Linked DNA regions of Bombyx mori. The protein of the gene in region 1 binds, or shares a complex with, the protein of each later gene. Links are inferred from orthologs where the notes say so. Each region holds a gene or a part of one and is shown in the gene's direction. Other genes may lie near its edges.

Evidence for each region.
Region 2: U5 small nuclear ribonucleoprotein 40 kDa protein (region 1) and pre-mRNA-splicing factor RBM22 share a complex: the UniProt entries of both Homo sapiens proteins name them as parts of the postcatalytic spliceosome P complex. The link is inferred for Bombyx mori from reciprocal best matches to the Homo sapiens genes SNRNP40 and RBM22.
Region 3: U5 small nuclear ribonucleoprotein 40 kDa protein (region 1) and BUD13 homolog share a complex: the UniProt entries of both Homo sapiens proteins name them as parts of the minor spliceosome. The link is inferred for Bombyx mori from reciprocal best matches to the Homo sapiens genes SNRNP40 and BUD13.
Region 4: U5 small nuclear ribonucleoprotein 40 kDa protein (region 1) and RING-type E3 ubiquitin-protein ligase PPIL2 share a complex: the UniProt entries of both Homo sapiens proteins name them as parts of the minor spliceosome. The link is inferred for Bombyx mori from reciprocal best matches to the Homo sapiens genes SNRNP40 and PPIL2.
Region 5: U5 small nuclear ribonucleoprotein 40 kDa protein (region 1) and protein CWC15 homolog share a complex: the UniProt entries of both Homo sapiens proteins name them as parts of the minor spliceosome. The link is inferred for Bombyx mori from reciprocal best matches to the Homo sapiens genes SNRNP40 and CWC15.
Region 6: U5 small nuclear ribonucleoprotein 40 kDa protein (region 1) and protein AAR2 homolog share a complex: the UniProt entries of both Homo sapiens proteins name them as parts of the U5 snRNP complex. The link is inferred for Bombyx mori from reciprocal best matches to the Homo sapiens genes SNRNP40 and AAR2.
Region 7: U5 small nuclear ribonucleoprotein 40 kDa protein (region 1) and thioredoxin-like protein 4A share a complex: the UniProt entries of both Homo sapiens proteins name them as parts of the U4/U6-U5 tri-snRNP complex. The link is inferred for Bombyx mori from reciprocal best matches to the Homo sapiens genes SNRNP40 and TXNL4A.

Annotation. Positions count from the first base shown.
Region 1 is NC_085109.1:1,114,854-1,119,030, forward strand, and holds the start of U5 small nuclear ribonucleoprotein 40 kDa protein, read left to right. Parts: upstream 1-1,377; 5' UTR 1,378-1,607; coding exon 1,608-1,724; intron 1,725-2,035; coding exon 2,036-2,162; intron 2,163-2,723; coding exon 2,724-2,927; intron 2,928-3,248; coding exon 3,249-3,491; exon of another isoform or gene 3,492-4,053; coding exon 4,054-4,177. UniProt on the Homo sapiens protein: Required for pre-mRNA splicing as component of the activated spliceosome. Component of the U5 small nuclear ribonucleoprotein (snRNP) complex and the U4/U6-U5 tri-snRNP complex, building blocks of the spliceosome.
Region 2 is NC_085127.1:4,267,745-4,271,824, reverse strand, and holds the start of pre-mRNA-splicing factor RBM22, read left to right. Parts: upstream 1-1,280; 5' UTR 1,281-1,456; intron 1,457-1,530; 5' UTR 1,531-1,574; coding exon 1,575-1,628; intron 1,629-1,699; coding exon 1,700-1,753; intron 1,754-1,824; coding exon 1,825-2,315; intron 2,316-2,654; coding exon 2,655-2,828; intron 2,829-3,334; coding exon 3,335-3,477; intron 3,478-3,712; coding exon 3,713-3,825; intron 3,826-4,080. UniProt on the Homo sapiens protein: Required for pre-mRNA splicing as component of the activated spliceosome. Involved in the first step of pre-mRNA splicing.
Region 3 is NC_085130.1:5,568,827-5,572,835, forward strand, and holds the start of BUD13 homolog, read left to right. Parts: upstream 1-1,209; 5' UTR 1,210-1,347; coding exon 1,348-1,448; intron 1,449-1,980; coding exon 1,981-2,164; intron 2,165-2,274; coding exon 2,275-3,463; intron 3,464-4,009. UniProt on the Homo sapiens protein: Involved in pre-mRNA splicing as component of the activated spliceosome. As a component of the minor spliceosome, involved in the splicing of U12-type introns in pre-mRNAs.
Region 4 is NC_085116.1:14,595,389-14,597,990, forward strand, and holds part of RING-type E3 ubiquitin-protein ligase PPIL2, read left to right. Parts: intron 1-68; coding exon 69-217; intron 218-1,841; coding exon 1,842-1,993; intron 1,994-2,602. UniProt on the Homo sapiens protein: Has a ubiquitin-protein ligase activity acting as an E3 ubiquitin protein ligase or as an ubiquitin-ubiquitin ligase promoting elongation of ubiquitin chains on substrates.
Region 5 is NC_085110.1:8,228,614-8,232,277, reverse strand, and holds the end of protein CWC15 homolog, read left to right. Parts: intron 1-194; coding exon 195-474; intron 475-690; coding exon 691-795; intron 796-2,815; coding exon 2,816-2,953; 3' UTR 2,954-3,164; downstream 3,165-3,664. UniProt on the Homo sapiens protein: Involved in pre-mRNA splicing as component of the spliceosome. Component of the PRP19-CDC5L complex that forms an integral part of the spliceosome and is required for activating pre-mRNA splicing.
Region 6 is NC_085115.1:3,919,477-3,923,454, reverse strand, and holds the start of protein AAR2 homolog, read left to right. Parts: upstream 1-1,178; 5' UTR 1,179-1,281; coding exon 1,282-1,484; intron 1,485-1,757; coding exon 1,758-1,960; intron 1,961-2,382; coding exon 2,383-2,640; intron 2,641-2,986; coding exon 2,987-3,113; intron 3,114-3,362; coding exon 3,363-3,780; 3' UTR 3,781-3,978. UniProt on the Homo sapiens protein: Component of the U5 snRNP complex that is required for spliceosome assembly and for pre-mRNA splicing.
Region 7 is NC_085120.1:13,294,256-13,298,397, reverse strand, and holds thioredoxin-like protein 4A, read left to right. Parts: upstream 1-1,342; 5' UTR 1,343-2,152; coding exon 2,153-2,230; intron 2,231-2,521; coding exon 2,522-2,658; intron 2,659-3,317; coding exon 3,318-3,531; 3' UTR 3,532-3,741; downstream 3,742-4,142. UniProt on the Homo sapiens protein: Plays a role in pre-mRNA splicing as component of the U5 snRNP and U4/U6-U5 tri-snRNP complexes that are involved in spliceosome assembly, and as component of the precatalytic spliceosome (spliceosome B complex).

The DNA of each region.
Region 1 (4,177 bases):
GTGGTAGGACCTCTTGTGAGTCCGCGCGGGTGGGTACCACCGCCCTGCCTATTTCTGTCGTGAAGCAGTAATGCGTTTCGGTTTGAAGGGTGGGGCAGCCGTCGTTACTATACTTGAGACCTTAGAACTTGTATCTCAAGGTGGGTGGCGCATTTACGTTGTGGATGTCTATGGGCTCCGGTAACCACTTAACATCAGGTGGGCTGTGAGCTCGTCCACCAATCTAAGCAATAAAAAAAAAAAAATGCGTTCTCGTCTCTTTTAAAAGTTCATTACACAAACAAAGCGATCGGGGCTACACGTGAAAAAATTGTAACTTAAACAAATGATTTATAGCCGTCGTGACCTAAAGGATATGACGTTTGGTGCATTCGTATGTAGCGATGTAACGATGTTCGAATTGCGCAGGCAAGTGCCAATTTTTCTAATGAAATACGTACATATCAACTAAACTGACTTCCACGGTAAAGGAATAACATCGTGTAGTAAGAACAAAGCCCGCAAAATTATAATTTGCATAATTACTGATGGTAGGACGTCTTGTGAGTTTGCACGGATAGGTAGCACCACCCTGCCTATTTCTGCCATAAAGCAGTAATACGTTTCATTTCGAAGGCTGGGACAACCATTGAATTTTTGAGGAGGCAGTCTCCTCCCGGTGATGGTCACGGGGCCTCCCCCGGGCCAACTCCCTCACCTGAGGGGGTTGAGGCTGCGCCGCACGCTACCTACCATCACTCTAGCGCGCTGGCACAAGGAGGACGGGACAACACGTCAGCGACTACGGCCTGCAATGCGGTCCGCATTGTCGTCGTCACTATCGTCGCCGAACATACTGTGGAAGAGCAACGCGGTCGGAGGTGTATCGCGTTCTGACCCATCAGGCTGGTTTTGGCCAAGCAGAGTATCCCAGAACACCAGCGGCATCGCCCGGGCGGCCAGGTAGGGCCACCGTACCGCGGAGACCAGCGTCATTGGTCATCGACTACCGTCTCGACGACCCGTCGGTCAGGGGTCCTCGGAGGGGCGCCGCGTGTCTGGTTATAGTGTTGACCGCGGGAACCCCCCCTACATTGTCCGGATTCTGAGCCCGGACGGAGATCGGACGTTGGGTGTAAATGTGCAAGGGAGTCGTTTAGTGCGGTAGGGCCCTAAAACTCCTTGGGCCCGCGGTCTGCTCCCAAAACCTGCAGATCGTAAAGTTCCACATATCTCACGCCCTCTTAGGCGCGGGGACCTCTTAGAAGGATCGGCCCCGGGCCCGAAAAAAAACCATTGTACTTTAAAAACTGGGACATTAGAATTCAAATCTCAAGGTGCATGGCGGCATTTACATTGTAGATGACTATGGGCTCTAGTAAACACTTTAAGTTCTTCATTTTGAATGACTCATTATCTCATCTTCTCATCTGAATAGGTATACAAAAAAAAAACTTTTTAGAAGGTAGCTTTGTCTTTTGTTACAAAGAATTTGGCGATATTGGCTATTTTCCTTTTGCCTATACAATTGACAAATGAAACAAGCTAAACAGTCCTTATACCATTTTTAAGGTTAGTATTTCTGTTTGTAGCTATAAAAACAAATAGGTAAATAAACATCTTAAAAAATGCCAGATATAGAAACTAAAAGAAAAGCAGAGGATGTGTCTCTTGTACCCTCCAAGCGAGTACGGCATGAGATCTCAGTAGTCGGCACCAGAGAAAAGGCAGTTGTTACTTCATCTGTGAGTATTGTTTTCAATAAAGTTTACTTATTTTCTCAATAGTACGGTCTATAAAAGCTAAGAACTCTAACGCCACGGTGAAAGCATCAAGAGATCATAATTATAATTATTAGAAATGGAACATAACATCTAAAATAAACTTTTAGAAAAACACAATCTGTACTTAGGTAATCATGATTGATATTTGTTAAAATTTAAGGTAATACGAATTTTAGTCGGCTTTTACTTTAAGATTTATTTTTCAACATTTGTAGTGATCAACAAGATTCCAAGATTCCTGTGTTTTGTATTTTATATTCTTGTCGTTCTAGGTTCCACGAACATCAAACTTGTATGCGCCAATTATGTTGTTGGAAGGACACCAAGGAGAAATTTTCACAGGCAAATTTCATCCTGAAGGCAAACATTTGGCTTCTGCAGGCTTTGACAGACAAATATGTAAGTAACAAAATCATGACAAAGCTTTTGAATTGGCAAAGTGTTTCTAAAATTCACACTCTAATAATATACTACTATCAAAACGTTAATGAAGAATTGACACATTTGATAACACAAATTATAAGATTACAGTAGGTAGGTTTTAAATTTAATTGAAAAGAGTGAACAAGGTAAAATCTGACCTAGTGTATAAGTGATTATTGGAGACCATAGACATTATATTACAGCGTCTTAAATTTTCTCTGAAGTCCAAATCCATTTCAGTTTGATTTAATATGCATTATTAAGAATGACTGCCAGTACCAATATCCCAGGCATGGGCCACACTGTACTGGGGTTTTAGTGACACGAGCCCTATAATGTAGGGAACAATATGATACAATACTCAAAATGATAGCTGATATAAACTGTTTAGCTTAAGCCACCATTAATATAAAAAAATACAAAATAAATGTTTATACCATTGAAAATTTCCACCAATGTCAGGGTCATGTTGACAACTTATAAGCTGTACAAGTCCAACTTAGTAATATTATGATTTTTGATTTCTTATTTTCACAGTAATATGGAATGTGTATGGTCAATGCGAGAATGTGATGGTGATGAAAGGTCACACGGGAGCAATAATGCAGCTTTGCTTCTCACCTGATGGTTCACATTTGTACACTGGAGCTACGGACAATACTGTAGCAGTATGGGACGTACCCACCGGGACTAGAATCAAGAAGTTAAAGGGTCACGCTAACTTTGTGAACTCTGTTTCAGGTATGTTTCATAGTTTGAGTTTTGACACACAATGGTTTTCATGCTAGTGCTTTTTAGTAGTACAAATACACAACAGTAACTTAATTAAACATTACTTTGCACTCTCAGAGCCTTAAAGTGATTGGATCCAAATAAAGTGGGATTGACCTAAAATTGAAACTATAATCCGTAACCATGGTTTGAAACCAGATAACATCAATCTAAAATCTCAATGCCTGTGGATACAATAGAACTGTAAATTCATTCATGGCATCCATTAAAAAATTGGTTTAGACAACGTAACAATCTATTCTAACTTTCTCGTGTTATCTCTATATCCAGGAGCAAGAAGAGGTCCAGAACTCTTAGTTTCAGCTTCAGATGATAACACCATAAAATTATGGGATGCAAGGAAAAGGAATCCAGTTGCATCGTTTGACAGTTCATATCCAGTCACAAGTGTACTCTTCAATGATACAGCTGAAAAAATTTTATCCAGCGGTGTGGACAATGTCATCAAAATGTGGGATATAAGGAATAATCAGATTTCCTTGAAAATAAAAGGACATACAGACACGGTTACAGGTTGGTAATTCTTTATTGATTCTGATTAATTAGATTTTTATTAGGTGATAATACTGCAACCAGAAATTAAATTAAAATATTGATACAGTTTATCTAGAGTGGAGTGAGGGCAATATGATGACAGTAATGACTTCAGTCTATTAGTTAACTACTAAAATACTGATTACCATACAATGTATTTAACAAATATTGATCTTATGAGGAAATGAGAATGGATTGATTGGTATGCAGTACAGTAGTAGTAGTTGCATACATATGTATTTCTCTTTATAATCCCTGTTGTTACTTGTTGACGGGTGTATTGTAAACTTCTTCACCCATTCTGCCTTCGGTAGCCCAAACTGGTATTAGGTAATTTTAGAGAAATGTAACAGCTATTATTAGAATGTCTCTAGCCTTATAAGTAGTAATAATTCATGACTAAGACTACTTGTTTAGTTTACTTGTAGATCGTGAAGTCATCTACCCAGGTGCGGCAATAAATATGTGAATAGAAATCATATGAGTTTGATACATTTAATGACTGGCAATGTCTAACTTGTGTTGCAATACTCGTTTCCAGGATTATCATTGTCATGGGATGGTGCATATCTCCTGTCCAATTCAATGGATAATACACTCCGTATTTGGGACGTTAGACCGTTTGCACCAACAGAACGCTGTGTCAAATTAATGTCTGGCCACCA
Region 2 (4,080 bases), on another chromosome or scaffold:
TACCACCTTACTTATTTCTGCCGTGAAGCAGTAATGCGTTTTAGTTTGAAGGGTGGAACAGCCATTGCACTGTAAAAACTAAGATGTCTCGAAGTGGGTGATGGCATTTACGTTATAGATGTCTATGAGCTTCGGTAACCACTTAACACCGGGTAGGCCGTTGGCTCGTCAAAAAAAAACTTTGTATCCATCCGTGAAGATGGTTTGGTATTAGGTTCAAATTTGTCTCCTCAAGCAATAATTCTACTAATACTTTTCTAATTAATTTCTCATGTGCCCTCTCTCAGTAGTACATTTATTCGTTATGGGATTTTAGTTATAAAATTTCATCGTAAGATTTAAGTAATAGATCAATAACTATCCAGAATTAAGTATTCTATTTTTTTTATTGCATAGTTGGGTGGACGAGCTCACAGCAAACCTGGTGTTACCTGTTACTGGAGCCCATAGACATCTACGACGTAAATGCGCCACCCACCTGAGATATCAGCTCTAAGGTTTCAAGTATAGGGCTGCCCCCACCCTTCAAATCGCATTACTGCTTCACGGCAGAAATAGGCAGGGCGATGGTACCTACCCATAAGGACTCACAAGAGGTCCTACCACCAGTAATCATAATAAGACCTGAAGGTGATTATTCGAAATGTAATGAAAATTAATAGAAAGTAGTAAAAACAGAAGTTAAACACAGAAAGAACTCAAAACTCAAACAACCTGAGAAACATTGCTAATTCTACACTGTTTCACTGTTTCTGCTCAGCTCACCATAACATAACCTAGTACGGTTAAGTACCAAGAGTCTTTCTATTTCGCTATGAAGTTTTTTATTTATTTAAAAAGTGGAAAAAGAATGGAAACATCGACCTGGTGTTCCAACGCCGGCAGTGACGGCCATTTGACTTATAAAGCTGAAAACTGGAAATTGATATAGCATTTTATAGCTTCGTTGACTTGTTGAACAATTTTAGTCAAATTACGTAAGTGTTGTAGTAGTAGCAAATTAACGATATTAGTGATCTGAGGAAATGGCTCTTAGTAGCACCGCTCTTTTGATATTTTTTAATTCCTATGAAATTTGCATTTCCTGCAGAGAATTCCCCTTTTACTGAAAGATTATTTGAATTGATTTCCTTTGAAGTCCAAGTAGTTCAACTACTTTAGTCATAGAGTTTCTTAATTCTACATAGAATAGGCTTGGCTTTACTTTCCATTGCAAAAGAACTGTATGCTCTTGATTTCTTTGTCTGTTTAAGCGAAAAAAATCAATAATCTCTATGTTCATCCCAGTGTCGACTGTCGACGGTTCAGTGCCATAGATTATACACTTTCAGTGCTGTTCGTTCAGAGTGAAAATCTGTCATTACAAAATGAATGTTCAATGACGTACCTTGGTAACTAAATACTTTTGTGATTTAGTTGCATGTAGAAATGGGAAAGAAGTGTTTTGTTTGATAGGGTAATTTAAACTAAATTACATTTCAACTTTACAATACAAATTACATTTCAATTCAACAATTATTTTTGTCACAGTTAAGCTGCGTTGAATCTAAAATAATATCAAGAAAGGACACGCCATGGCTACATCGAAGTCAACAAACACATACAATCGTCAGAATTGGGAAGACGCCGTGAGTATATTGTTGAAGCTTATCAATTATCATTATCTCATTGTGGTAGTAACCATGTTATATTTTTGCAGGATTTTCCAATATTGTGCCAAACATGTCTTGGAGATAACCCTTACATTAGAATGGTATGTATTGTGGTTTCCGATAACATTATTTCGACAACTTTGATTGTTTTTTTTCATTTAACTATTTTCAGACTAAAGAAAAATACGGTAAAGAATGTAAAATATGCTCAAGACCTTTCACAGTGTTTCGATGGTGTCCCGGAGCAAGAATGCGTTTCAAGAAAACAGAAATATGTCAGACCTGTTCGAAACTGAAAAATGTTTGTCAAACATGTTTATTGGATTTGGAATATGGTCTGCCAATCCAAGTGAGAGATGCTGCATTAAAAGTTCAGGATGACCTACCTCGAAACGAAGTAAACAAGGAATATTACATACAAAACTTGGAGAGTCAGCTGTCTAACTCTGATCCAACACAGCCAACCAATTCTCTAAAATCTAAAGGATCGTCCGATTTGTTGGTGCGGTTAGCTAGAACAGCTCCATATTATAAGAGGAATAGACCGCACGTGTGCTCGTTTTGGGTCAAAGGAGAATGTAGACGAGGGGAAGAATGTCCGTATCGTCACGAGAAGCCAACAGATCCTGATGATCCACTAGCTGATCAGAACATTAAAGACAGGTTAGTCACATAAGTTTTCTGTACATCTGCTTAGTGAAAATAAAAATAAACACGTCTTTGTAAAGTGGAATTTTAGTAAATTGCATTACAAAAAGTCTTTCGATTTAAGGTATTCATAGATTTTGATCAATTATTCATTTGAGTTCCAAAAATGAACCAAATCCTGACTAAAGATTGCGAATTAATGAGGCTTAAGTTATTGAAACTCCATTGTAATAATAGTATGTGAAATAACAGCAATATCATAGTTGTTATTGAATATCTCTTGATATTTTACAGTAAATAGCTGTTAGTGTTTCTAAAAAAAAAGTTGAAGGTTTCATAATTTTTTATTCACAGGTATTATGGTGTAAATGATCCAGTAGCTGAGAAGCTTATGCGTCGTGCTGCTGCAATGCCTGCTCTACCTCCACCTGAAGACAAAACTGTTACTACCTTGTATGTTGGTAATCTTCCTGATAATGTCACTGAGGACGAGCTTAGAGGCCACTTTTACCAATATGGTGAAATTAGGTAAGTTTGACAAGTTAACACAACAAATAACAATGCTCTGGAAACAAACAGTTCATAGAAATAAACTCATAATTGTGTCTGGTGATATACACTGCATATATCTTAATTATGTTTTAATAATCTAAATATTTTTTTATTTAAATTATGCAGCTAATGTAAAGTATTCTCATATGTTCAGAGTTGACTAACTAATATTTAATTTAAGGATTATGTACCAAGTAAACCATAGTACATCCCTAGTATTATGGTTTTTAAAATAAGACCGATATCTGATTGGTGGTTATCTTAAGTTGCTACAACCATTTTTCTCATCAGTTCACAGTAGTATTCCCTTGTATTTTTTTATTATCTATTAATGTAATTGAGATTTTGATCATCATCACAAGGCTGATGAAATTAATGGTGTGATGTTGTCATTAGAAATGTGTGTATCATTAGAAAACAAATCACTATTCTAGACTTGTTTGATAAAATTAGCACTATGTTAGAAGTTATTGAATTTTCAGATGTTTGACTCTTGTACCTCGAGCCCAGTGTGCCTTTGTGCAATATACTTCAAGAAATGCTGCAGAACATGCTGCAGAAAAGACTTTCAATCGTCTTGTTATTTTTGGCAAGAGACTGACAATCAAATGGGGTAAATCGCAAGGTAACAAAACATTATTATTGCATTGTGCAAGTTTCTAAGAGAGTACCTGGTAACTACAAAATGTTAGAATACACTACATTTATGAAAAAGTATTCAATATGTTTTTTGCAAGTTATTTTCTGAAATGAGGTTTGTACTCAAACTAGTATAATTTAAAGACCTCAATCTGTAATATGATAGTAAAAGTTTATATTTCGTAATATTTATGAGTGTGTAATGTTGTTGTATATAACAGGACGACAAGGACTTACTGAGAAGAATGATGGTGTACCCATGTTGGAACCAGTTCCTGGATTGCCTGGGACGTTGCCACCACCCCCTGCATATTTACATCCATTCCCGCCACAAGTTAGTGTAAAAATGTTTTAAATTCTATGTAAAATATTTTACTTTTCTTCAAAGGATACTGAACAAAGCCTACTTTACTGGTGGTACTTAGCTTTACTGGTGGTAGGACCTCTTGTGAGTCCGCGCGTGTAGGTACCACCGCCCTGCCTATTTCTGCCGTGAAGCAGTAATGCGTTTCAGTCTGAAGGGTAGGGCAGCCATTGTAACTATACTGAGATCTTAGAACTTATATCTCAAGGTGGGTGGCGCATTTAC
Region 3 (4,009 bases), on another chromosome or scaffold:
GTTGAGTTCGCCTACGCTCTTCAACCTGTATATGAACGAGCTGATCGGCGAGCTCAGTAGGACCAGGATTGGTTGTTTCATAGACGGGGTGTGCGTAAACAACATCAGCTACGCAGACGATATGGTGCTGCTGAGCGCGTCTATCTGTGGCCTAAGGCAACTTGTTTCTTTGTGTGAGGGATACGCCAAATCACACGGTTTGGTGTACAACTGTAAAAAGTCGGAGATCATGGTCTTTGAGACCAGGGGTGGGACGCATGATAAAATACCTCCCGTAGTACTCAACGGAACGCCATTGACAAGAGTTTATAAATTTAAATATCTCGGCCATGTGTTGACCCCTGATCTCAAAGATGATGAAGATATTGAACGAGAGCGGAGAGCGTTGTCGGTTAGAGCAAACATGATAGCTCGCAGGTTTGCACGGTGTTCACTTAAAGTCAAGGTCACCCTCTTTAGGGCCTACTGTACTAACTTTTACACGTGCAGCTTGTGGGCTGGATATACTCAAAGATCGTACAATGCTCTCCGTGTTCAATACAATAACGCGTTTAGGGTGCTGGTGGTGCTGCCCCGCTTTTGTAGCGCATCAGGGATGTTTGCAGACGCGCACATAGATTGTTTTTACGCTACCATGCGTAAAAGGTGTGCATCTCTGGTAAACAGAGTGAGGGCCAGCTCCAACAGTATCCTGAGCATGATCGCAAGCAGGCTGGACTGTATATACATGGGTCGCTGTGGTGCCATCTCCCATGGGATGTTACCACAGTAATTCATTGTGATGTAAATATAAATACTAACATAGGTCTAAGTCTTATTAACAATTTATATGAGTCATGGATACTTGAAATAAAAACATTATTATTATTATTATTATTATTATTAATGGTTTAATATCTGTGAAAGTGCACAAATGAAACAAAGCCGCTGGACGTAGCTTCTAGGGATCCTCCAAAAAGCCCACTAAAGAAGTCTCAGTAAATAACCACCATTTTACTGAGATTATATTTCATCCCATGTTATCTTATCTCAATTTATTTCATTTCATCTCAGTTGATTAATGTCTCAAATTAATCATCTTCATTTCATTTTATTTCATTTGACTCCCTAAATCATTTTTCATAAAAATAAGAATTTAAATATAAAATAAGACATGACCCAAAAGTCTTAGTTACCAGGACATAAAATCCCTTTAAAAAAAGTGTATTATGGCTTTGAAACATTTGAAAGAATGTTGATTTGTGACATTTGTGTTTGTCTAAATTGATACCATAGATAATACACATAATAATATAAAGTTCGTCAAATTAATTTTCTAAATTAAATAATTTGAAATTTTATTTAATAATGGCTACGACTGTAAACCAGAAAGCGTACTTGCAAAAATACCTGGCTGGTCCATCGGGCGATAAAAAGAAAAAGAAAAAAAAAGTGCTAAAAGGAAAAGGGTAAGTCAACTGTAGACAATGTGAACAATAATTGAAATTAAACGTGAAAGAATTTACTATTTCTAAAAAAAATACCTTAAATATCTACCGTTTTGATATTTACAATTGTATTTTGGCATTATATTAAAGTGCTGTCGTCACACTAAAATGCATTTTAAAATTGAAAAAAAAATCATGTACATTTTCACGTATTCTCCTTACAAGTTATTGTATTTTAAGTAAGTATTGATTATTTGTATAATGAAATACATAACAAATGCGAATTAATTTCAAATTTCTTATTCCTGTCAATATTTTCATTCAGTATGGATGAATTTTTTGGTTGCTTAAGCATGTTGTTCTAATAAGGTTCGAACAGTACATTAACTATATCATCACTCTCGGCTCATCTTCCTTCAAAGACGCAAACGTCAGTTCCAAATAAAGAACAAAAAAAAATTCTTTCATTAGTGAAAGATACAGATGACAAATAACCTTACCTGTTGAAACACTAAAGTGAATATAAAAAATGTATTTTCTCATCTAATTTTAGGTTCAAAATAATAGACGATGACATTGACCTATCGAAGCTACGACCCCTTGAGGGTGACGAGTTAGATGTGTATGATGAAGGTGATGACGCACCGCAAGTAGCAGGTATCATCGATGAAAGACCAGAGCATATAAAAAAACAGGAACAATTCACCACTAGTTCTAAATGGAAGATCGTGAATCAGGTACACATGTTTATTACTTTATTTTTACTGTCAAGCCTTCAACATATTAAAAAACCATTCTAATAGAAATCTTATTCATCGATTATAACAGACACCGAAAATCGTTACAGGATGACGGATTCAACAGCAAACTACAAATTGAAGAGATAAAGAAAGATGTAAAGGAAACCGAGAAAGAAAACGAATTGGTCTTTGGAAAAATGTACAGTGATTCCGAAGATGATAAGCCAAATGTTTCAGAAGCTTCGCCGTCTGGAAGAGCTAAAAGCAAAAAAAAACACAACAGTGACAGCGACTTCAGCCCACCAAGAAGAGGGAATCCAGTGAAAAGGAATAATTCTCCTAAAAGAACTACTGAATATGATTCTGATCTTTCACCACCTAGAAAGCATGAGGGTCAGAGAGCTGAAAAACTTAAAAAACCAAGTCGTTGGGACAATGAGAAGGATAAGTCACCAAAGTCTTTAAGAGCTAATAACCACAGAAGATCTAAGAGCTCTGATTTGTCTCCTCTAAGGAAAACCCAAATGAATAAGATTTCTTCAGGACAAGATATGAAAATTCAAAAAAGATATGATGTGACATCTCCCAGAAAATCTAGAAAAGATGATTCAAAACGAAATAGACTTAACTCAGTTTCACCTCCGAGGCGAAAAAAATCCCCAGAGAAATCTAAATTTGGTCACGATAACAGACAGAGCCAGTTAAAAAAGTATAATGATACAGATTATGGTTCGAGGTATGACAAAAGATCTAACAGATCAAATTCAGATTCTGATATGTCTCCCCCAAGAAAGAGTAAGAGACAAATCTCAGAATCTCCCTGTAGAAATGTTCCACTAAGAAAAAAAACGAATGATAGTGATTCAGATTTATCTCCTCCCCGTAAAAATATAAGATATGCAGAAAACAAGTCCTATAGGAATGTAAGCAAAAAACCTCACAGGAGGAATGACACAAAAGACAGTGGTTCGGATTTATCACCACCGCGAAAGCTTAAGAATATAGATAACTACAGAAGGCATGACTCTGAACGTAAAAGAAAAGACAGAAGTTCAAAAAGAAATAATAGCGATTCTGATCTTTCTCCTCCTAGGAAAGATAGGTCTAACAAGAATGACAGTCCCCCTCCAACCCATAAAAAAATGGAGAAGACTTTGGAAGGAAAGAAAGCAGGATTACAAGATGCCAAGCAGCTGAGGCAAGAAAACGATGACTTTAGAAAGAAAGAAGAGGAGATGTTTAAGAAAATGAAAGATGATGTTTCAGGCAGGAATGCTCAAGTTGTGTCAAGGAAAGGTTAGAATTATTAATATAAAATTTAATTTAAATAATAAAAAAAAAGAATATTACACATATCTACGGCAATCTAATTTAAAATTATAAGTAATCTTTGTTACTTAATCTTACTTTATTACTTATTCTCTATTACTTTAGTACTTAACAAATGTTCACGATTGACTTCCACCATGAAGGAATAACATCGTGTAATAAAAATCAAACCCGCAAAATTATAATTTGCGTAATCACTGGCGGTAGGACCTCTTATGAGTCCGCGCTGGTAGGTACCACCACCATCCTGCCTATTTCTGCTGTGAAGCAGTAACGCGTTTCGGTCTGAAGGGTAGGGCAGCCGTTATAACTATACTGAGACCTTAAAACTCGTATCACAAGGTGGGTAGCGCATTTGCTTGTAGATGTCTATGGGCTCCAGTTACCACTTAACTTCAGGTGGGCTGTGAGCTCGTCCACCCATCTAAGTAATAAAAAAAAGTTACATAGTTAAAGTCAAAATAAATATGTGAGCATTCATTGTTCATGGAACATATTTTTATACAAAAATTT
Region 4 (2,602 bases), on another chromosome or scaffold:
ATCACTCTTTAATTCATGAAGAGTAATGTAAGGGCAAGATTGTTAAGACCAGACAATGTTTGTTTCAGGTTATGTAAGACTGGTAACAAATGTAGGACATCTGAACTTTGAATTGTACTGCGACGTAACGCCCAAAACTTGTCACAACTTCATGACACATTGTAAAAATGGATACTACAACGGAACAAAGTTCCACAGGTCTATCAGGAATTTTATGGTGAGTTGATGAAAATATTAAGTGGCGTTGAGTTTTATACCACGACTAGTGTAAAAAGACTGGTAGTTCTGCTTTGCAGAACTTCAACTTTTTTTATTGCTTAGATGGGTGGACGAGCTCACAGCCCACCTGGTGCTAAGTGGTTACTGGAGCCCATAGACATCTACAACGTAAATGCGCCACCCACCTTGAGATATAAGTTTAAGGTCTCAAGTATAGTAACAACAGCTTTTTTTTTTCGGGGAGAAATCCTCATGGATTGCCTCCGCCTGGTGAAAGGCGGAGGGGCGTGCTGGACTCCTACCGGCTAAAACCACCCTGGTGCCTCACCACACGTGCACGCGGGGCCGCGGGAATCGAAATTCTTCCGCAGGCCCACATAGTTAAAACAGCTGCCCCACCCTTCAAACCGAAACGCATAACTGCTTCACGGCAGAAATAGGCAGGGTGGTGGTCTCCCACGTGGACTCAAGAGGTCCTAAAAAAAGTGTCTGACATCTTGATTAATTAAACTACGTATCGAGGGGTGAAAGGCCATTTGGCTTAAGCTTCGATCAACAATAGTACAATTGTTGATCGAAGGGCTTAAGCGACATTTTTGCTACATTACAGGAGGACCGTTTAAAGTTTATAATTGGGACAAAATATTTTTACGCGTTGGGATTCGGGATAACTAAAAATTCTACCGAAGTACAATTTAAAACTGTATTAACGCATATAACCACTTAACAACGGGTGGGCTGTGAGCTCGTCCACCAATCCAAGCAAAAAAAAAACCACAACATTAAAGTTCTTAATTCACTTCTTCCGCTTCGCTTCAGGTGATCCGTTCGCTGTTTCGCTTCGAGTAGATGCGATTACTGACTGCCTTTGTGTTATCTCTGCAACGCTTTTATAATAGATACAACATTATTATTGCATTGCGTATAAAGCGAAATATCGCTTAAACCAAATAGCCTTACACCTCTCGATATGGCCTCCTGACTGAGCCTTTGCTCGCCCACCTGTCCTGGTGACAATGGAAAGGCCACCAGTAATCCTTCATTTTGAAAAAAAAGTTGGTCTGGGACAGCTAGCTTTATTATTTTAATGAAAACTATCAATGAACAAACAAATTGAATTAGAGACAGATGTGTGTCTAGAGTAATTCTATTGTAAGCTCAGAACTACTTACTATATCTGCAATATGGTTTTTGGGATAAACAGGTGATAAGAGGATACAGAACCTATGACCTATGGTCTCACTTTTCTGTCTATTTTTAACACAAAGCAATCATGCCAGAGGCGTTTAGTTTTAGACTGTCTATAACTGTCTATTACCAGATGGACCGTGAAGTTCGTCTGGCGATTAGACAACTTACCTGTTTAAAATATATGATTTTTTTATTAAACTAGCTGACGCGGCCGACTTCTTAGTGCCTCGATAAACAAAAAACCTAAACTTTTGTAAAAAATAAACTCAAAGGGAAAACAAAATTGTTATTTTTATTTAATTCCGAGCATTTTCATATTTATCTACCTTTTAAACCTTCATTCAATTCAAGACCAAAATTAGCCAAATCGGTCCAGCTGTTCTCGAGTTTTAGCGAGACTAACGACCAGCAATTCATTTTTATATATATAGATTCAAGGAGGAGATCCAACGGGCACAGGGTTGGGAGGCGAATCCATTTGGAAGAAACCTTTTGATGATGAAATTAAGCCAAACTTGCACCACACCGGACGAGGAGTCTTGTCTATGGCTAACTCGGGAACCAATACTAACGGATCACAATTGTAAGTACTAGATGTATTTTTAATAACTATAAATGAACTGAAGCTTTTAGGACTGGGACAGAGTTGCTTTTTTGAAATTGTAGTTTCGTGTTGTATGAATTTTCTAAAACAATAAATAAAATTACTATTCTCAAAACTTCACTATTTGAAAATTAAATAAATACAAGAACGTGAAGAAGACCAGTGCTTTGGTTCTACTCAAGACTGTGAGTTTACCTAGTCTTGCCATAAATACTGAGACAAAGGGAAAAAAAAAATCTATTGCAAAAACGTTTATTACTTTTACAGTGTGTTAGTTTAAAACATAAATATAAAACAATTTAAAGTATTAAAAGATTATTCGAAGTGGTCTCCATTGGCTGCAATACAGTCCTTTGAACGTTGAGGCCAGTTATCAATAGAAGCACACACTCTTTCCATGGGAAAATTTTTCACTGTCAATCGTACGGATTGTTTTAGGGACTCCAAATTATCATGGCGTTTAGAGCAAGCCGTACTCTCTAAAACTGACCATAAATTATAATCCAGCAGATTAAGATAGGGACTAGACGACGGCCAGTCTTCAGCTGTCAAGTTCGAGTCCGAAACGTTCGTTTCCAACCAAGACTG
Region 5 (3,664 bases), on another chromosome or scaffold:
CCCGCGTGGTGGTAAGTGCTTAACGGACCTCATAAAAAGCCATCTTGAGACAAGGTAGAGTACTTGAATTATTGTTTTAGAAAATACGCTACCCTTCAAAACCACAATGTATAACTCGTTCAAAGCATAAATACCACGTTTGTAATGCACCAAAATGTAAAGAAAAAGTCAAATATTAAAATCTATTTTAATAGGGAATCAGGTCAAGGGACATCTGAGGAATTACGCTCTCGTGATTTTCGTAAGGAGTTGGATGATAGAGAAAAAGATGTTAAAACTACGACTACAAAACGTACAAGTGAACCACAAGCAAAAAGAACTAAGGTTGATCAAGTTCCTGCAGCAAGTCTTGATGCTGATGATCCTCTTGAAGGCGATTCCACTGACTCTGATGATTCAGATGATGATACTGCTGCATTGCTAGCAGAATTAAACAGAATTAAGAAGGAAAGGGCCATTGAACAAGCTAAAAAAGTAAGATATATCTTAGATACTAGAGTTAGATACTATACTATAAGACTATTTTTGTACTGATGTACACAAAGTATGTTTAAATTAAATTTTACAATATATATTTTTTTTAATTTGTCTAACTTTAGTGTACTTTAGTGTATTTTGATACCCAAACTAAATAAAATTCAAATAACAAATAAACCTTGTTGCACAAATCAATTTTGTTTTACCTTATAGGAAGCTGAAAAGAAACAAGAAGAGGAAAGAATTAGAATGGAGAACATATTATCGGGTAATCCTTTACTCAACTACTCCGCTGCAGGACAGAAGAATGACATGAAGGTAATTAAAAACATTAAAATGAATTTTGTTTTAACTCCTGATAACTGTTTGGTGATTGAACTGAACTGCAGATGTCATTGATGTTGTATTTATCAATGTTGAAGTAATTGTGCCCTAAAAGATAAAGACTCCCGGTGCATTTGTATAAAGCTATGTGACTGTGCCGGTGCTCTCATCCTGCAGACAGGTACCAATGGTAATGAAATATATACTTAACGTAAATTGACAAATGATTTCCATCATGAACAAATAGTGTTTAATAAAGATCGAACCCACCAAAATTATAATTTGCTTAATGAATGGCAGTAGAATGGGGTAGTAATGTGTTTTCGTTTGGTATAAAATCTGATATTTAGAACTCATGTCTCATAGTGGGTGACAACATTTAAGATGTCGATTTCTATGGGCCATGAACTTAATTCACCCATCAAAGGAATAAAAAAAGTGTAGATGACCTTTAGTTTCTGCAGTGGGTAGGTATTCATTTGTTGTAGTACAAGTTCTTCATTCTGGCTAGTCAGTTTCATGATACTACATTATTAAATTACACATTGACCAGGATTATCTTGATAAATAATTTAAATGCATCTTTTAATTGGCATTTGTTGTTTTGCTGGTGTTTTGTTTTTGTTATTTTGTTATTCCATAGTAACAATACTATCTGTGTTTTACTTTTTTTATGGCATATTTATGTGTTTGTATGTTTATGTATGTGTTGTATGTTTCTGTTCTGGTACACTATGGTACTTTTCAAATCTGTTTCAAGATATTATTTTTCATTCTTCCAAGTATGTCTAGCATTGTCTTTTTGGTGTTAAGTGGTTATAAACTTGGGTCTCACTTAGATTATAATTATTCAGAGCTTTTGTTGTGTATTGGTATTTTAGATATCCTTGCCATATGATAATAATATGATGTGTATTGAAACATGTGCAAATAATATTCAATCAGTATCTGTTTTGATATCTCATTGGTGAAGTATACTGACAACTACCAGATAACCCTTTTATACCAGGTTGGCCATAAGTTTGTTCACCTATCTATGCTATAAAAATAACTATTAAAACGTATTGTTGCTATTGTTTTCGGTTTACTTGTATTTGAATCAATATCATTGATACTCCACAGGGAATACTTTAATAATGCACAAAAAAATTATTTTTCCTTTCATTATGCATATGTAGCGGCAGATATTGAGGATTCAAGACTATTAAATAATTTCATTTAGACTTTGGTTGATTCATTATTTTACATTTTCGGTTCTATAAACACTGGTTGCTGTTTTGACACCACAGGGACTGTGATTTTGTACACCCACTAATAAATACCATACAAAAATGCAAAAGTAATTGAAAGTGATTTTAAGAACATTAACATAATCTGCTCAAGCATTGGATGAATCCGGTATTGGAACGCCCAGAGGCACCACTCAGCACAACTCGTCATTAGGCCTCTACATGATATCATTAGAGAGAGACTGACTGAGTTATGAGAGTCACAACCTTCATCTATGAGGGTCGATTAAGAAGAATTTAAGAAGTCGTCGTGGCCTAAAGGATAACTCATTCGGTGCATTCATGTTGAGCGATGCACCGGTGTTCGAATCCCAGGCGGGTACCAATTTTTCTAATGAAATACGTACTCAATAAATATTCTCGATTGACTTCCACGGTGAAGGAATAACATCGTGTAATAAAAATCAAACCTGCAAATTTTAATTTGCGTAACGACTTGTGGTAGGATCTCTTGTGAGTACGCGCGGGTAGGTACCATCCCCTAGCCTATTTCTGCCGTGAAGCAGTAATGCATTCCGGTTTGAAGGGCGGGGCAGCCGTTGTAACTATACTTGAGACCTGAGAACTTATATCTCAAGGTGGGTGGCGCATTTACGTCGTAGATGTCTATGGGCTGCAATAACAACTTAACACCAGGTGGGCTGTGAGCTCGTACACCCATTTATGCAAATAAAAAAAAAGGACAATCGTAATATTATATCTATATTTTTTTTGGGTTGTTCCAGGTAAAAAGAAGATGGGATGATGACGTTGTTTTCAAAAATTGCGCTCGTTCTGAACCGGAAAAGAAACCTAATACTTTTATAAATGACTCATTAAGATCAGAGTTCCATAAGAAATTTATGGAAAAGTACGTGAAATAGTAAATCATTATTGATATTGTAATTCTAAATTTAAAGTTGTTAAAAGCGATTCTATACCTTATTGTAAGCGGAATAGTGATAACGAAGTGGAAATGCTACTATGGATATTACAAACACGTAAAGAAAAGATTGACGAAAACCAATATAATTTTAGTAAATATTATGAAAAAAATGTCATTTTGTTGTTTTGAATAAATTATATGAAAACAAATAGTATTTTATAAAGTTTATTTTCAAGTTAATGTCACGTTACTGATAAAAAGTAATGTTTGTTTCCTCAACAACAGATAGAGGTCAGTTCATTAGCATAATGTGTCTAATTTACTCATATAACAACGAACATTGCTTTCGGGTTCGAAATTTGAGACTCAACTTCTGAGTTTCAGTGGTAAAAATCTTGGTAGTTGGGGTATCCAAACTAAATTAGGGAAGGTATTAAAGAGATTAATTTACAAAAAATTCAAACTTACTGCCCCGATTTGATAATCAATACGCCACCCGTTAAAGTACATAACTGCATTGTTAATGGTAGTAATAAATAATTATTAAATTAACTTATTAACATTCGGAGTTCGGACTGACCAGACTGACGTGTCCGGCGAAGTTGAATGTTTTTATTATTGCGGCGTTGTGAGTGAGGCGTGAGAGGGGAGGCAGTGGTAAGTGCGGAGCAGGCGGCGGCGGCCTACCTTGAGTGGGCAGGTCCACAGC
Region 6 (3,978 bases), on another chromosome or scaffold:
TGGTTTCTTAATATTGAGGGGGGAACAGAACGGGTTGTGTTGGACTCTGTACCTGACGGCCCCTACGGGAGATGAACGGAAGCTTCGCGCCCGCGCCGCCCACTCCGCCTTCTTCGCTGAGGACCTGAAGAGAGATCCCACTCCCTTTCGCACTCCTCAGCCTCATGGAACACCAGAATCAGTTCGCAAAGCCTCGCACGAACTCTTGTCCTTTAACATAAGATCAACGACAGTCGCAAGGAGATGTCCCTCCCCAGCACCACGATTAGATCTCACCGCGTGTTCTCCCGACGCGGGCACGCTTTGAGATGCGCTTCCGTTTTAAGATTCGAGTGGTGAGGTGGGAGTCTCAGAAGTCCGTACGATCAATATATTTCATCAAATTTGAGTTTCGTCGAAGTTTTTCATATACGCTCTGCTGACTTATTCTCTGTTCTATTATGAGTAGCTCCGTTAAGCGTTACAGAAATATAAATTAATGTACCTACCCTCCTGTCTTATGTTTTAGAGAAATTACTTTATAAAAAGCGTGATTCTGTGCTCATGTAGAAAAACAAATCCTAAGATAGCAGACAGATTTAAAATAACAAATTAATTAACTTAATAATAATATGCCGAAAATTAAACATGATATATTTATAAACTTAGTTTTTCAAATGAATTGAGTTATAAAGATAGTCGTAGGTAGCCATGCTGAAAAAATAAACAAATAGAACAAGTGAAGGACACATCACTTAGTTATCTATCTATCTATCTATCTCTTAGGCTTATGGCGTTTCCTTTTAGATTTCGCCAATGTCAAGTGTATTTAATACTCTGCTTTCTATAGCGGGCTTCGTGAACGAGCAAGGTCACAGATATTCACTAAGAATTAAGTGAGTAGCTAAGAATATTTGATGACAGGATCTCTGTTGATTTACCTAAAACAAATAAGACGCACACAATATATATTATACAGGGGTTAGTTCGATAACAGACAGACACTTAGTTACTGTTAAATACAATCGTATTGGGTTATGGTGCTTTTAATGTTTAAAACATTGTTTTACATAGTTGAGAACAAAAACATTATTTCAAACCTAAGAAAATTATTAAAAAATCTATTCACTTCAGTCTGCATTGTACCTACCTTTCACGTTCAGAAACATTCAAATCGGCACGCGTCGAGATTTTGACATTGACGTTTGACACTCACGAATGTAAACACATTGATTGATTGATTGTATGTATTTTTATCATACCATTAATTCATATTTCATTGTTTCGGGAGCATAGTTGGATATGGATCAAGAAACAGCGAAAAAGCTGCTAGTGGAAGGGGGCACGTTTGTATTCTTGAGAGTCCCTTCAGAAACCCAGTTTGGCATCGATATGCAGTGCTGGAACACGGAGGAAGATTTTCGTGGCGTTAAAATGATTCCTCCAGGCTTACATTATGTTCATTACTCTGCTGTCAGTAAAGGTACTGGCGATATTGCACCTAGGTAAGTGCGTTTTATATATACTTTAAAAAAACAATCCTAGTACTATACAAGGAATTCAAGTTTGGAGGTTGTTTTTGGAATCTTATCACTTAATTTTAATATGGTAATTCGATATCAGATTTACACTCAGAATTTACATATTCGAAGCACAAAATATATGTATACAGCTTATTAAGTTTCTTCGTGTATTGTTATTGAACTTATATGAGACTGATATCAATATTATTGTTACTTGCATACCTAAATAAATTACTTTTCTTGATTAAATTCCAGATCTGGCTTCATGCATTACTTTCACAAAAAAGAATTTCTTGTGAAAATGTGGGACAAAAAAACTGAAGATTTGAGCAAGGAAGAGATCAGTGATGAGAGCATCCAACGTTTGAAAGATAATTTATTTAATTTGGACCGACATCTTGCTCCATATCCATATGAAATATGGCAGAAGTGGAAGTTACTGTCTTCACAGATCACTGGTTGGTGTCTTCAATTAAAGAAATACTTGCCCTACAAATCTTGAATGAACTTAGTCTTGTTGAAGTTGGTGGTAGTTCACATTATGAGCCTGGTCATATTGGCATAGTGGAGCATATTGAGACTGGTCACTGTCCTCGCCGAACCCGTCGCTTGTGATGAAGGGCTTAATGAGTAAAATTAACCCATAGACACAGTCTACTGAGTTTCTCACCGGATCTTCTCAGGGGGTTGCGTTTCCGATACGGTGGTAGATTCTGCGAAGCACTGCTATTGCTAGAGGCAGTGTTAGCAACACTCCTGGTTTGAGCCCCGTAAACTTAGGCTTGTATCAGAAAAAACAATTCATACAAGAAACTAAAATATTGTGTTATTCCAGAATCTTATATCAATAATCTGTACTAAGTTTAATTTCTATTGTCAGCTGAACTAGCAGCAAAATTGGCACCAGAAAGTGGAATGATAAGAGCATCAGTTGAGCTTTTATCGATGACTGATGCAGAAAGACCAAGAGGAGTCAAGTCTTCATCTAGTTCAATAAGTCAGGAGAATGAAAAATCTCCCACTAAAGAGGATTTCAGTGAAGAACAGATTGCCGGACACTCAAGTGCTAAGAGAGCTAAAAGAATCACAAGGGAAGAGAAAGAAAAGTCATTGTTACCAGATTTGAAACCAGTTCCAGGTAAATTAATGAAACAAAGATAAATGTAAATAATATTTTTCCCCTATATATCTACTAAAATAAAACTACACGCCTAATTAATTACTGATTGTAGGACCTGTGAGGCTGCATGGATAGGTTATCACCAGCCTGCATATTTCTGCCGTGAAGCAGTAATGTGTTTCGGTTTGACTATACCTTAGAACTTATATCTCAAGGTGGGTGGCGGCATTTATGTTGTATATGCCTATGTGCTCCAGTAACCACTTAACACCATGTGGGCCGTGAGCCTGTCGTCTGTCCACCCATGTAAGCAATAAAAAATATAAAAAAAAATAAAAGAATTCTAAAATGTGAATCTTTACAGGAGCTGCTATGAGATTCACAGAAATACCTCAAGATAAATATCCACCGGATGCAACACCAGAGGAGATCACGAAACATTACTTAGATCAGTCATACTCATTAGAGCTCATGATAGCACAGCATAATGAGTAAGTATCTATTTTTATTAACTGTTAGTATTTTAAGAGAAATTTGAGGGTATCTTAATATAAAATTTTGTTGACTACATACTACATTCATATGTTGATTACATATACAGTTGAATGTCTATGATGGATATTTTAAGCATTGTTCAGTGCCGAAGTTATCAGGAAGCTAAAGTCAAGTCTCGACTCTTGACATGATTAAATGCACAAAAGCCAAAATCTAGAATTCTATATACGTGTTTTATTTTTCAGACCTCTACACATCATAGGAGAACTGCAATTCGCATATTTGTGCTTTTTGATTGGGCACTCCCTAGAGGCTTTTGAGCACTGGAAGAGCCTCGTCATACTCATATGTTCGTGTGACGAGGCCATACACAAATACAGAAGTGTTTTCTTTCACTTCATTAGGACTATTGAGGTGCAAATCGAAGAGATGCCCGAAGATTTCTTAGCCGATATAGTGATGAATAAAAATTTAGTATACAAGAAACTCCGTGAGTTTTTCCGCACGGCTTACGTAAGCAAAGTCGACGGCAGACTTTTGACGATGATTGAACGCTTCAAAGATAACCTGACCGACAAATTGCAATGGGATTTCACTGGTCTAGACGCTGACGATGAAGACGAGAGGCCGGTCGTAGTGAAACTCGACGATGGAACTCAATAGATTATATTTAATGGCTCCTCTTCACAATCGGCCATGATAGGCCAACAAACAATCGTCCATCATCGCCGCCATGATGGGGCAACTCTCCACACAATCGTGAACGTTTATTTACTGACTGTCTACTGATATGTTAAGACGTCTAGGTATCGATGATGGAAATCGAGGAGATCGCGGCTGCGGCAATATTTTTAGTTCTAT
Region 7 (4,142 bases), on another chromosome or scaffold:
TAGACTTACTTAATTACCGCATCCACGTGTTCCGCAACTCCCGGATCATTCTCACTAGAATACGTAACTTCCATATTTTACTGTATTCAACTGACACAAATTTATATTTATATCCAGTAAACTCCAGTCGTGCGTCGGAGCGGACACACACACTTTTTTTTTCTACCTACGCTGAGAGCCTTGAGAGGCTATTTCAGCGTAACCCTAACTTTTGTAGTTGAGCTCGCGGGGCTCAAACCTGATGACGTTGCTAACACGAACCCTAGCAAGACCCGTGCTTCGCAGAATCTACCACCGGATCGGAAACGCGACCCACTGAGAAGATCCGGCGAGAAACTCAGTGGGCTGTGTCTGAGAGTTAATTTACTCGTCGAGCCCTTCGTCGCAAGCGACGGGTTCGACGAGAACGGTGACCGGTACTTGAAGTACCTAGAAGCACCGTTAGTGGATCGGGAGGATCCGAGATGACGTGTTTTGGGCGACGTCGACTGCTTTCCATTCTGTCCGCAGGATCGGGAATGTAGTTACCGGCGGCCACGATGAGAGGGTTCTCGTGTCGTGCCGCTTTATCGAAGTGGCGCATCGACGCCGACTGTAGATACTTACTGATGGACTCTAAGTCCAGGTCGTCATGGAGGTCGACGTTCCTGACGAACCACGGGGCTCCGACGGCTATCCTGCAAAAACGGGATTGAATAATGTGGAACGATTTTAAGTGAGTGCGGGCCGCGTGAGCGAACACTACACTTGCATAGGTCATGACGGGGCGTATGCAAATTTTGTAGAGTGTCACCTTATTTCTAAGGGACATTTTACTTCGCCTACATATCATCGGGTAGAGACGTCCTAGAATGAAGGCGGCACGGTCGCGTACCGTCTTGATGTGAGGGCGGAATGTCATCCTACTGTCGAGGGTGACGCCTAAATATTTGACCTTCGGGGCCCACGGTATGGGCTGGTCGAACATCGTGATTGGGCGAATGGCGGGGGCGGAGGTGTTGACGCGCCTAGTCGGGAGGGGGATGCTCAGCGTGGTGTTCGGAGGGCGACCCCTTTTGAAGAGCACCGCTGTGCTTTTCGTGGGGTTGATGTCGATTCTAGTGACGACTGCCGGCGCAGCGGCTGCGCAGTGTCTGCGCCAGCCGAACCTACGTCTCGGGGGGAGGTGGGAACTATTGTTGTCACCTCAGCGGTACAATCGATAAAATAACTGCTTTGAACATAAATACTTTTGTTTTAAGGTTTTTTTTATTTTCTTTTTTTATTTTGCAGACGATTTCAGTTGTAACATTACGTTACAACACCCGCACGCTAAGCGGAACCCTAAAGTGTCGAACAACGCCGTGCGACCGACGCCGCGACGCCTCGCAGGATTCGTAAAAATACGGAGGGTCGATAAAGAAAAATTGAATAACGCGCACGCGCCGCGCCGGTCGCTGCACAAAATTATTAATTTTATTTAATTTAAATCCTATAACCTATATCCTATACCTATATAATTTAATTTAAATACCTTGTTGTACCTATAAGAGTTGTAACGATAAAATATATGATTAACATTAAAGCCTCAAATAAATAAACTTCACCTCATTTCATCCATATCATTATTAACTTCATATTAAATTGATATAAATAACAGAATAATTCCATGAAAGATTACGCTGTATGGACTGATACCTCCGCCTTTCTTGTTGGAAAATGGAACTGCTACTGTCATACGTCATACTGTGGTCTGTGATTTTTTTTAAGGTATTTTATGACCTGGTAAAAGTCAGTGTTTGTAAATTTACTCATAGAATAGTCATATCTTAATACCTACATATTATTAAATAATTATAAATTTAAAGTTCTCTATTTCACAGAACATTCTTTTTGTTATGAAGTAACAAAAAAGACAACGCCTGCTCTAAACTTTTTGAACACACTTCTATAGAAAACGTGAACAGTGACGAGAAACAAAATGTGAGAATAAAATAACTTTGGAATGTCTTAGATGTGAAAGGCAAATTTCAGTGAGCAAAATAATATCAATATTTGTTCAGTGGTCCTACAACACGATTATATTTTGCTCATAGCAATAGCAATTTCCAGAAAAAAGAATACAGGAATAATCGTTTGTTTGAAATAATACGTAAAGTAGTTTATTTGCAAAATGAGTTATATGCTAGGACATCTACACAATGGTTGGCAAGTAGATCAGGCCATTCTATCAGAAGAAGACCGTGTAGTGGTGAGTTTTAACTAGATTCATAGAATGTAGAAATCTGAGATTTAGTATCTGAAGACTAAAAATAATAATTATATTCTAACCTTACATCAATAGGTATTTGTTAAAGTATATAAATGCAGTAGAAACCAAGACCTTCAACCTTCTAGTATAAAAAACAATAGATTTTGAATTAAAGGAACTAACAAAATGCTTTGAGCCAAAACAGTTAATAGTTATTTAATTAGTGGCCTAATTGTCTTGCCCTATGATTCAACTATATTAAATGTAATTAATTCTAATTTACATATCTAGGTTATAAGGTTTGGACACGACTGGGACCCAACATGTATGAAAATGGATGAAGTATTATACAGCATTGCGGAAAAAGTAAAAAATTTTGCTGTCATATATTTAGTTGACATTACAGAAGTTCCAGATTTTAATAAAATGTAAGTATACCGTAAAACTACTTGTTCTAAATTTATTTCTGAAATTAAGATTTTGATAGGTTTTCTTAAAACCTTTGTGGAATACACAAGTCCTCCTACCTCCAGTGTTTTAAGGAAATTATGTTGTATTATTAAATTTGTTGTTTTATTAATTATTAAAAAAGTATCATAAGTGAAGAAGCAAAGAACTATGAGTTTTCTAGGAATTCTTAATAAGTCTGGTTCATACAGTAAATGAATTTCATTATCTACATTGTTAATAATTTTTTTCAAATTGTTGATTTTAAGACTAGAGTAGAACAGCAGTTCTTGATCACTGGAATGTTGCAAGTCAAGTGTGTTGTGAAAATTAGAAATACGATATTTCAATTTTTATTTAAGGTGATCTGGGAAATTGCATCTCAGGGATACATGTTGGTTAAATATACAATTGTTTATTAAATATTAACCATACAACAGTATTACATATGAGTGATGTAAATACCAACAACCATCACTCCCAACTATAAATCTTTGCATTTAAGGGTGTCATGTATATATAGAGTATGTTAATACATCATTAAGTAAAAAAGGTTGAAAGTTCTAGTCTAGTAGAAAGGGTCTAGTATATAAAATGACTAAGCAAGGCCTATAATAATATTATTTAAACTTATTTCTAGGTATGAATTATACGATCCATGCACAGTGATGTTCTTCTTCCGCAACAAACACATAATGATTGACTTGGGGACTGGCAACAACAATAAAATCAACTGGCCTCTCGAAGACAAGCAGGAGATGATTGATATTATTGAAACTGTGTACAGAGGGGCAAGAAAAGGACGAGGTCTTGTTGTCTCACCGAAAGATTACTCTACCAAATACAGATATTAGTTTAATTTAAAATAATGTTCCACCTGAATGGTCTAGTAATTTGTAATCATATCTGACATCATAGTCATCATAAATTTAGTAATGTAACTTTTTTTATATAAAAATAAGAACTATACATATTACATTATAACTCATGTGTTTTTGGAATTATGCTGTTCTTCCTGATATTAAACAAAGTAAAAGTAGAATAAATGACAAGTTTTATGCTGATGTAGATCCTTTTTTTTGTGTTGCAATATCTTCATCATTGAAAAAAAAAAAAACCATTATCAAAAATACTTTATTTTTATTTTTTATTGCTTAGATGTGTGGACGAGCTCACAGCCCACCTGGTGTTAAGTGGTTACTGGAGGTCATAGACATCTACGACGTAAATGCGCCACACACCTTGAGATATAGTTCTAAGGTCTCAGTATAGTCACAACGCCTGCCCCACCCTTCAAACCGAAACGCATTACTGCTTCACGGCAGAAATAGGCGGGGCGGTAGTACCTACCCGTGCGGACTCACAAGAGGTCCTACCACCAGTAAAATACCAGTAAAAGACCGATAAACGGTCGTGCCAAGGCCAAGAGGGACGAGAAGCCCTAAACACGTCATTTCGGATCCTC